Kluyveromyces lactis: one gene and its partners. The protein of the gene in region 3 purifies or fractionates together with the protein of the main gene of each other region. This does not show direct contact. Links are inferred from orthologs where the notes say so. Each region holds a gene or a part of one and is shown on either strand. Other genes may lie near its edges.

Evidence for each region. The genes of interacting proteins can lie anywhere in the genome.
Region 1: the proteins of IWR1 (region 3) and RPB3 purify together in Saccharomyces cerevisiae (affinity purification with mass spectrometry; 9 studies listed by BioGRID). This does not show direct contact. The link is inferred for Kluyveromyces lactis from reciprocal best matches to the Saccharomyces cerevisiae genes IWR1 and RPB3.
Region 2: the proteins of IWR1 (region 3) and RPB11 purify together in Saccharomyces cerevisiae (affinity purification with mass spectrometry; 5 studies listed by BioGRID). This does not show direct contact. The link is inferred for Kluyveromyces lactis from reciprocal best matches to the Saccharomyces cerevisiae genes IWR1 and RPB11.
Region 4: the proteins of IWR1 (region 3) and RPB10 purify together in Saccharomyces cerevisiae (affinity purification with mass spectrometry, with the first as the bait; 4 studies listed by BioGRID). This does not show direct contact. The link is inferred for Kluyveromyces lactis from reciprocal best matches to the Saccharomyces cerevisiae genes IWR1 and RPB10.

What each region holds. Positions count from the first base shown.
Region 1 is NC_006040.1:1,362,309-1,365,161, reverse strand, and holds RPB3 (DNA-directed RNA polymerase II core subunit RPB3), read left to right. Parts: upstream 1-1,429; coding exon 1,430-2,353; downstream 2,354-2,853. Other genes in the region: protein translocase subunit TIM44, read left to right, coding at 1-173; KLLA0_D16192g (uncharacterized protein), read right to left, coding at 581-946; 1-(5-phosphoribosyl)-5- ((5-phosphoribosylamino)methylideneamino)imidazole-4-carboxamide isomerase HIS6, read right to left, coding at 2,601-2,853. UniProt on the Saccharomyces cerevisiae protein: DNA-dependent RNA polymerase catalyzes the transcription of DNA into RNA using the four ribonucleoside triphosphates as substrates. Component of RNA polymerase II which synthesizes mRNA precursors and many functional non-coding RNAs.
Region 2 is NC_006039.1:542,739-544,937, reverse strand, and holds RPB11 (DNA-directed RNA polymerase II core subunit RPB11), read left to right. Parts: upstream 1-1,333; coding exon 1,334-1,699; downstream 1,700-2,199. Other genes in the region: transcriptional regulator SIN3, read right to left, coding at 1-657. UniProt on the Saccharomyces cerevisiae protein: DNA-dependent RNA polymerase catalyzes the transcription of DNA into RNA using the four ribonucleoside triphosphates as substrates. Component of RNA polymerase II which synthesizes mRNA precursors and many functional non-coding RNAs.
Region 3 is NC_006041.1:814,964-817,811, reverse strand, and holds IWR1 (Iwr1p), read left to right. Parts: upstream 1-1,178; coding exon 1,179-2,306; downstream 2,307-2,848. Other genes in the region: KLLA0_E09153g (short-chain dehydrogenase/reductase), read right to left, coding at 109-951; RPL9A (60S ribosomal protein uL6), read left to right, coding at 2,761-2,848. UniProt on the Saccharomyces cerevisiae protein: Directs RNA polymerase II nuclear import. Binds RNA polymerase II in the active center cleft between the two largest subunits in the cytoplasm.
Region 4 is NC_006040.1:576,062-578,046, forward strand, and holds RPB10 (DNA-directed RNA polymerase core subunit RPB10), read left to right. Parts: upstream 1-1,272; coding exon 1,273-1,485; downstream 1,486-1,985. Other genes in the region: NAN1 (Nan1p), read right to left, coding at 1-783. UniProt on the Saccharomyces cerevisiae protein: DNA-dependent RNA polymerases catalyze the transcription of DNA into RNA using the four ribonucleoside triphosphates as substrates.

The sequences.
Region 1 (2,853 bases), on a different chromosome or scaffold from region 3:
ACTTATACAGAAAAGCAAAGACCGGTGAAATTGCAGCAGGTGCTGAATCCAGTATATTAATGAGTTCTTACGCCATGGTTTTCACCAGGGATCCAGAAACTGTCGACGATAAGGAAACCGAAGGTTGGAAGATCCTCGAATTTGTCCGTGGTGGTTCCAGACAATTCACTTAATGACCATGACTCCGAAATTTTTACTCAGTACAAAAATAACAAATAATAATGATACAAAGCCAATACCTTCCCAACCTTCACTTACTATCGCTCTGGAATAGATTCATGAGTTCGTTATTTGGAAAAAACGGTGGCGGAACACAGCTTTCACTACCTAATCCTGTTCTATATTGCATGCCTGGTAATGTTATTCTTGGATTACTGCGAACTATCAGAGCGTATGAAAGAAATAAAGTGTTGGTTTTGGTCGTAATGTACATTAAATCATCATCATACTAAGTTAGTTTATATTTTACTATATAGATTATCGTCGTTTCTGTTTGACGAAGAAGGAACAGAACGACGACAAGAGAATTCGTGTTAATAGTATCCTAATCCTTCTATAATCCCTAGGAGAAGAAGTTCAGTTATATGTTTCTTGGTGGCCTGTATATCGCATTCTTACCAAATAAGTTCCTAATTATACTTCTGCCAATATTACGTCCTGCTTGTCTGCAATATTGTAACCATGGCTTGGCAACGATATAAAATAACGAGAGAAAGACACCCTGCAAAAATGGACTTATCAAAATATCTCTAGCAACAACTTTTGCAACGATATATGGTGTAATGGGAGGATCTACGACAGATCCATCAGCCACCGATAGAGTTAATTTATTCTGTTTCAAAGCTTCTTTCCTCAAGGACTGCTTAAAGGTCTGTTCAAATCGCAAATCTGGCAATGACGCCTTTACTGAAACTTTCTCATCCACACGGGCAATTCCTTTAGGCATGGTAAAAGGCTGATTATCTGTGGATAACTCACCTTATTTTAAATTCGGTGATGTGTAATTGTACTTGATATTTCGCCTATTGCGTGGGATCAGCTTTCTAATATGTTCAAAAACCGATTTGAAGGTCCTACAAAGAAGAAATAATGCTAATAAGAAAGAAATGGGGCCACTATTGTTCGAAGAAGTTAACTATAGGTAATAAAGGCTATATATACATGACTCCGAGCAATATTATTCTTAGCTGAGCCTATTTGAAACAGTATTGATGGAATAGTCCTATGCACGTGACCAAACGCTGCCAAAGCTCAAAAATTTTCCAACTGAACAAAAGTGAAAAATTCATAAAACAATAATCGAATGCACCAAGGGAACGAGAACAAATCATTTCGTTGCTGTAGTTTGGTCAATACTCTGGTATTTGATTGAGCAAGGAGCAGGTCATATCTTAGGGAGAAATCAGAGTTTAATACTGCGAAAGAACAAATGAGCGAAGAAGGTCCCCAAGTAAAAATTAGAGAAGCAACCAAGGACAACGTTGACTTTATACTTTCTAATGTCGACTTGGCTTTAGCAAACTCGTTACGTAGAGTCATGATATCTGAGATTCCTACACTAGCCATCGATTCTGTTGAGATTGAAACTAATACTACTGTGTTGGCAGATGAATTTATTGCGCATAGACTTGGGTTAATTCCATTACAAAGTGCAGACATTGATCAAGTTGTATACTGTCGTGACTGTTACTGTGAAGATCACTGTGACCGTTGTTCAGTAGAGCTAATACTACATGCTATCGGTGAGAGTGAATCCACGACGAACGTTTATGCTAAGGATTTGCAGATTACCAGCGATTTGAAGGGTAGAAATATTGGCCATCCAATTATACAAGACAGAGAAGCAAATGGTGTATTAATCTGTAAACTAAGAAAGGGACAAGAGATAAGAGTGAAATGTATCGCTAAGAAGGGTATTTCAAAAGAACATGCGAAATGGTCACCATCAGCAGCTATAGAGTTTGAATATGATCCATGGAATAAGTTAAAACACACAGATTACTGGTACGAACAGGATGCAAGGGACGAATGGCCTCAATCTAAGAATTGTGAATTTGAAGATCCTCCTAACGAAGACGAGGATTTCGACTACAGGGCCAAACCTAATACATTTTACATAAACGTCGAGTCTGTTGGTTCCATCACTTCGGAACAAGTCGTCGTACGTGGTATCAAAACTTTACAGGATAAAGTAGCCGACATATTATTCTCATTAAAGAAGATGGACCAAGAGAAAGTTAATTTCGCAGCAGGAGCTGTATCTACGCACGTATCACAACAAGTGCCGATGGAAGAAGATATGGATCCTTATGGAGGGCCAGTAGGAGGCTCAGGATACGATGATGCATGGTGAGACAAGACAACAAGAAAAAGCTACCACAATTATCGTGAAAGGCAACGATTTTTCTATAATTCATTGACGAAACACAAGGCATATATTCCTTAATACTAGCATACTCAAAGGCACTAGCAGCATCTGCTACCATCCAATCTACCACGTCCGTTCAAAAGTTGAACGGTCAAAAATGTTTCAATATCTCTATCTCTATATAGAATGTTTATTTCCATCGAAAGTGTAACTATTAGACAAAGACTGGAAGCTAAGCGTGTTTCTCATGGTTCCATTGGACACAGTCCTCGAACTTTACAAGGGATCCACCAAAAATATCAAGAGCACTACCAAAGGTCAAATCAATTTTGCCATGACTCAATTTCTCTACTAGCCTTAAATCATCCACACTCTTAGCGCCGCCTGCGTATACGATTTTCACTTTTGGAATATCCGCAGTCCATTTGTACAAATGAGCCACTAGCTCTTCATCAATCCCATTACATAGACCCTCTACATCTGCT
Region 2 (2,199 bases), on a different chromosome or scaffold from region 3:
TTGAAATTTAACCTGTTCCAAATACGATAAAGCATCCTTGACGTTCAAGGGCCTATATGAAGAATACTGAGCTTGTTGCAGTGGATCCTGTCCCACTGTCATAGCATTTTCCACCTGGACATTGTGCCCCTGAAGTAATTGCTGTTGTTGCTGTTGATGCGTAATATCTGGTTGTTGAACGATATTGTTAATTGATGGAGTAGGGATGGCGCCCTCGCTATTCGTTGAGACAGGACCGTTACTCCCGGCGGCAGAATTGATAGGAGTTCCTCCATTCTGTAAATTGATGTTATCCATTCGGTTAGAAACACCAGACAATGGTCCGTGGATGTGAGGGTGCACATGCGAATGTGAATGGGAATGAGAACGTGCGTTTTGCTGGCCTTGTACCTGTTCCTGTCCTTGACCCTGGGAGGGCTGATTTGATCCACTAATAGTAGAAATCGATGGTAGGGTCACGTGATGTTGTTGTTGATCATGTTCCGGTTTTATCTGGATGTTAACGGCGGGAGGCGCGAGCTGAGGTAACAGATTTGGACTGTTCTCACTTTGACCTTGCACACCATTAATCATTCCAGTCGATGGTGGAATTTGTTGCTGCTGCTGCTGCTGTTGTTGTTGTGGACCATCCGGTTGTTGGTTCCATGGCGCCGACATCTTTTACCCTCGAGCACGATTGCCAAATTTTGTACTAATACGATGCGTTAGATAACACGATCAAAGAATAGATGATAGCAGCGCTAATCGTGGTCGTACCTCAGAGCAGTTAGATAAGTTCCTTAATCAGAATCAAATCTCGATGATTGATAAAGAAAACAATAAAAAAAAAGGAACAGGACCAAAAAACACGTCGTGAACAATGGTGTACTCCTTAGACTATGAACTAGATACTCAAAGTACTGGTATAAGCTCAAAGCAATTACTCGATTATCCGCCCTTGATATCGCACAGAGAAGGTTATGTCTTGTCTCGTTCCCCTTTAGATTCTGCAACCGCATTTAATTTCCACTCTAAATACATACTTTAAAGAGTTCAAATGTTAAATTTCAATTTATATGTTTTTTTGAATCTTTCCATTTTGAATTTTTTTTTTTTTTTTTTTTTTTTGGTCTTGGGAACTGTCGACATTTCGGGTCAGATTCAATATCACGTGCCTGAGGGTAACCACTTTTCATTCACTGATTCTGATTGCAGTTCGCTTCTCAACATGAAAAATTCACAACAGAACTTTAAAGTGACCATAGACAACATTGTGTGGGTTTGGCAGGAGAAGGCAGCGCAATCCAGTGACAGATTCAATCAGTGGCTCCGCTAGATAATATAGAGTAACGATATGAATGCTCCAGATAGATTTGAACTTTTTTTACTACCGGAAGGTGAGTCGAAGCTTAAAGTAGAGCAAGATACCAAGGCATCCAGTGCTATTATAGTAACGTTTGAGAAAGAAGACCACACTCTAGGGAATTTGATTAGAGCCGAACTTTTAGAAGATGAAGGAGTTCTTTTTGCAGCTTATAAGGTAGAGCATCCGTTATTTGCCAAGTTTAAAATGAGAATTCAGACTGTGGAAGGATACGATCCGAAGGATGCGTTGAAGAACGCATGTAATAGCATTATCAATAAGTTGGCTCAGCTGCAGTCTAACTTCGAAACAGAATGGAATTTGCAAACGTTGGCTACTGAGGATTATGGTATGTAATAGTGTTGGAAATTGCTCAAGTGTATTAAACAAGTGTCAGGTAATTCATCTTTTCAAAAGAATTATTGAACCTCCTTCGGTTTTTCTCTATCCCCTCTTCCCTTCTATGTATTATTTTCATGAACTGTGTTGTGTTTCGGCTATAAAATAGGAGAGCGTATTACTATCCACCGTAAAGTTCAACGTTCATTGTGTATAGGACTATTTCTTTTGGGTTTTTTGGGTATTATCAGTACAGAATAGTGACCTTGTTTGCAATAAAAAAACCTTGGAAGGAACAAGATATTCGAATTTTGATATCTTCACATCTTTCTAACTTGTATACATTTGTTGTTACTTTTAAGATACAGTTTTTCTGGTGAGGGATCATGTTAAGATTCAATTATTAATTTATGTTAAATTAAACAAATTTATTCTGGCAGCCCCAGGCTTATTTCATCACAGATTCAAAATTAACTAATGAAACAATGAAATCTGACAGGTGAAGATATTTTGATACA
Region 3 (2,848 bases):
AGATTTTTTTGAATATATACATTTTACATATATGAATTCCACCCTCCCGCGTTTAGATTCTCAACAAGAGCGGCATTAAGGAACGGATATTCATAAACGGCAAAAGTTTTATAGGAAGGGGGATAAATATTTGAACATCTGATACCATTGCCAATCCAATTCTCTTAGAGCTAATTTGAAATTCGTCCTCATCGAGTATCCCTGAACACCTTGTCTATTATGAAAGATAGCACTGAAAACAGTTTTAGCCGTCGTCATATCCTGGTGCGGTTTAGAATTAAGAGCTTTACCAAAAATCAAAAGTAAGCAGCGAACTCGGCCGTTGCTGATCAAAAAATTCTTCTTATATTGCTCTTTCAACGTCTGTTCAATCAGTTGGAGTAATTGAAACTTCGTTGCTTGTATGGCACCATAAGAAGACTTATTTTCCGTAGTGTATAAGCCTTCCGTTGAAGCAATGTCAATTATATAACCGCGATCGTACGCTATCATTTTAGGTAAAATATGCTGAATAATATGCATGCTGCCCGCATACACTGTTCTCATTAACTTTCTCAAACTCACACCTTTCCCCACTTCGGCGTCAGTAAAACTTTTCAAGGAAACCGCATTGATAAATACAGTGATTTGACCAAATCTTACTGAGATATCATCCAAGATTAATCTTGTATATTCAAAGTCAGAAATATCGCACTTGTAAAATGACACTCGATGAGGTTCAATAAGATTTAATGGGTATCTTTTATCAATGAGAATAGTCTTATAGCCCAAGGAATCAAACATTGTAACGAGATGTGACCCAATACCTCTCGAGCCCCCAGCAACTACAACAATGTCCTTTTGTGGACACAATGGTATACCCACAAAAGAGGTAACTAAATCTTCAAGAACTCTAACATATTGAGTACCTTTTTGATCCAACGCAAAATAGTTTAAGCTATTCCAAAACATAGCTACAATCAGAGACCCTTTCTCTGATAAAAACTATTCTATACTATGACCAATGAAAGTTATACCAACTCTAATTGCCATCGTTTTCTTTACTGTCACTAATTGACGTTCTTAGCGTCAATTTTCCAACTTTCTTCATGTTTTGCTCAGAATCATTTTGTCTAGGAAAACCAAATTTACCTTTTCAACTTAGAATAAGAATCATTTGATCCAAGACCAATGGATTAATGAGGGAATCACATAGCAGAAACGACTCTGTTCTACCTACAGAAGCAAATATATCTGACATGAGTAAAAGCATATCTGGCGTGGAGTACATCAGAGTGAAAAGACGTCGGGATGAGGATTCCGTACAGGCTTTGCTCTTAGAAGAGGAGAGAAACGCAAAAAAAGGGAAGTTCGTGTTCAAGCTATCTAAGACTGTAGAGCTTGAGACTCCCGATGTTAACAGTCCACTATTGAAATTGAGTAATGAGAACAATGATAAAAAAATGGTTTACGTTCTTGAAAGGGAACGGGAGCGCCAGGCAGCGTCAGAATTGCAAGAAGAGCTACCGGATAGCATTGCGGAAATGCTAAATGACTATCTTAAGATAAAGGAGAAGGACTCACCAGAGCACAAGAAACGCAAGGCAAGTCGAAAACATTCAAAATCATATACAGCTCCGATCTTGCCTCCTACAGATTACGTTTACGATGTGTATGTGAAACAAACCATACCAGAAGATGAGGAGGAGTTCGTTTTCGATAAGAGTACTATCGGATACATCAGAATCGTTGAGCATAATGGGGACATGATCCCAGAAGAAGAAGTAGATCCAGAGAAAACAATGTTGACTGACGATGAGGATTCAAATGAGGAAGATTATTATCAGAACGATTATCCGGAAGATGAAGACGATGACAGATCAATTTTTATTGGAAGTGACGAAGATAGGACGGATTCAGAAGATATAGTATACCTTGACGAATTAAATGATGAACTGGATCAAAATTATAATGTGGACGGTGAGCAGGCTAACGAAACCACCAATGATAATGGTGATGAGTTTGATGCATTATTTCAAAATTACGGAGAATCTTCCAATCTTTTGAGCTCGTTGAATGCCAATAATTACGTCGACTTTGACTACGACGACGATGACCATGCCGATAGTGATAATGACAACGGTAAATACGACGGTGACTTTGTCAATTTGAAGCCAGAGGCTGATGACGATCACGATACTGGAATGGACGTAGATGATCAGACATTCAAGAGAAATTACTTCTTCCCAACTGACAAAGACGATGAAGATGCTATACACAGAGATCGTATATTCGGCAAGCTGCAAAAGATGATAGATAAAGTGTGATTAATTTGGTCGTTTTGGATGTCTGACACAATTCCCTTGTTGTGAGTCAGATATTCTTTGGGATGGGGAATGGATCATTGAAAAACTGCGGGACTGTTATTCTATTATGTACAGGTGTTCCAAAGAGGAATTTTTGCGGTTTTTTTTTTTTTGAGATGAGAACTACAACCGCTAGGTTCCACAGAAAAAGTCGTTGATACTGTGAAATGTCTGGGTGTTTGGTGAAAAATTTCTGAAGTCTCATTTCCTGCGTCTGCAAGATTGACCAACTTTCACCAATTGCAAAGCTCTAGGTTAACAAAGATGATGTGCAAGCATTCCCAGTTATACTTGGCTCCTGCATTGTTTGTTGAAACAGGCGTTAATTACAGTATTACAGTATTACAGTTGAGTGCATTTGCTTTGTTTTGGTTTTGGTTTTCAGATAGGCTGTGAGCGAATACAACAAGACAAGATGAAGTACATTCAAACTGACCAAGTCCTAGATGTCCCAGAAGGTGTTACCGTCCAAATCAGATCCAGAAACATCAAGGTTACTGGTC
Region 4 (1,985 bases), on a different chromosome or scaffold from region 3:
ATCAGGTAGATTGATCAAATTTATAACACCAGATGCAAATCCAATAGCCAACTGCTGGCCGTCGTTATCTAACGCAAGAGCAGTGACAAAATGGGAATTTATGGTGGTACTAGATGTTGTAGATGGTACTGGGAAGTTCTGAACTGAACTGTTGTCGACCATAGATTTGATCAGCACATGTTTTTTAGTTTCCTGGTTCAAATAAACTAGGGCAAGGTAGTTATTGTTATTAGACCAAGTTGAAAGTAAAACATTCTCAAAAGTTTCAAGGTGTTTAACCTCAGATTCTTCCTCTTTCTCTTCAACGTTTTCATATAGATCATATCTGTAAGAGTTCCCTGTTTTCTGAACTGTAAGTAATTTCTTCCCATCGCCAAGAACTGCAAATAACTCGCCAGTAATATTCAAAGACCAAGTTTTAATCTCCGTGGCTAATTTACCCTTATACTTCAATATAACTACTTTCGCAGTGTTGGTATACACTCTGATCTTATCCATCTCATCGTCAATAATAGGCTCGATATGCACCACCTCTACAGAAGGCTCATCGAGTATCGAAGTCAAAATATCATTATTAGCAAATTTCAATGTCTTAATACATTGTCTAGTATCAATTGAATACACTTTGAACTGATTGTTGAAAGGGACAATGTATGCTGACCCGTCCTGAGTAAGACAACTCACCGATTTTCTAGTCGCGGATCTATTGTGAATCCTAGGAAGAGCGACCTTCCCACCAGAAACAACAGAAAGCTTGTACATTGGTAACGAAGAGTTTGGCATATTTAACGTGGATTCGATAACAGCTGATACTCTTGTTGGTGCCTCTGGCTGATCCTACTCTTGGTATTTTCTTTCTCTGCTTCTCAAAAGACAAGCTCATCATATAACTCATAAGCTCATCGCATCTTTTCAATTATTTGTCTAATGTGGATTCTTTTTTTTCACCGTATGTAGAATTGTAGTTTTGGAAAATTTTATGGTTGAAACCTGTGCAGGACGAGGATTTGAAAAGAAACGATGGTCATCTCTATCGTGAGAAGTGACATATAAGGGCATCTAATGAAAAATTTGGAACCGATGAAAAATTAAAGTATTAAGAATTAAGAAAGCTGGTTGAATATGATGATTTGTGATGCAAATTATATGAGTTTTCAAAAGGTCGAGCAGGTTTTGATCCACTTATTGTGATAGTTTATAAATCTCGGAGGGTTTATTCCAGGTTTCCAGGTTTCTAGGTTTTTTTTCGTTTCGATATACTTTTAAAGAGAGATGATTGTTCCAGTTAGATGTTTTTCCTGTGGGAAAGTTGTCGGTGACAAATGGGAAGCCTATTTGAATATGTTGCAAGAAGAAGAACTAGAAGAAGGTACTGCTTTGACTAGATTGGGGTTGAAGAGATACTGTTGCAGAAGAATGATTCTAACACATGTCGATTTGATTGAAAAGTTCTTGAGATACAATCCTTTGGAAAAAAGAGATTAGGTGGTCTGCTTTTACTATCAATTGCGATACCCCCTTCTACACTAAAATGGTCCATTCTCTTTAATTACGTCTTCACTTTTCTGCCACTGGTTACTACCGCGTTGTTTTCTTGCGTTCTTTGTTTGCATTTTATTACGTTCGACGTATGGACTCCAGAATAGACAAAACCACTGAGTTTCAATTACCATCTGTTTGCTGTAACTTCTGTTCAGCTGCTGAAACGACAAATAAAGAAAGCACAAGAAGCACGCATGCACGCATGCACACAATTCTATTTCATGTACTATTGCATTGTATACTATTCACATCACCTAAATAAAGCATATTCATCTGATTTTATAAATTTGGTATGTTGGGATTTTAAAAAGTTCATTAATTATTTAAAGACGGGAAGCCTTACATAAGATGTTGGCATATTTCCATGTAGAAACATATTAAGATTAAGTTTTGTTTATATACAGTGATCTCGTAAATAGTAGTCATTATAAAGTGTTCCAGAA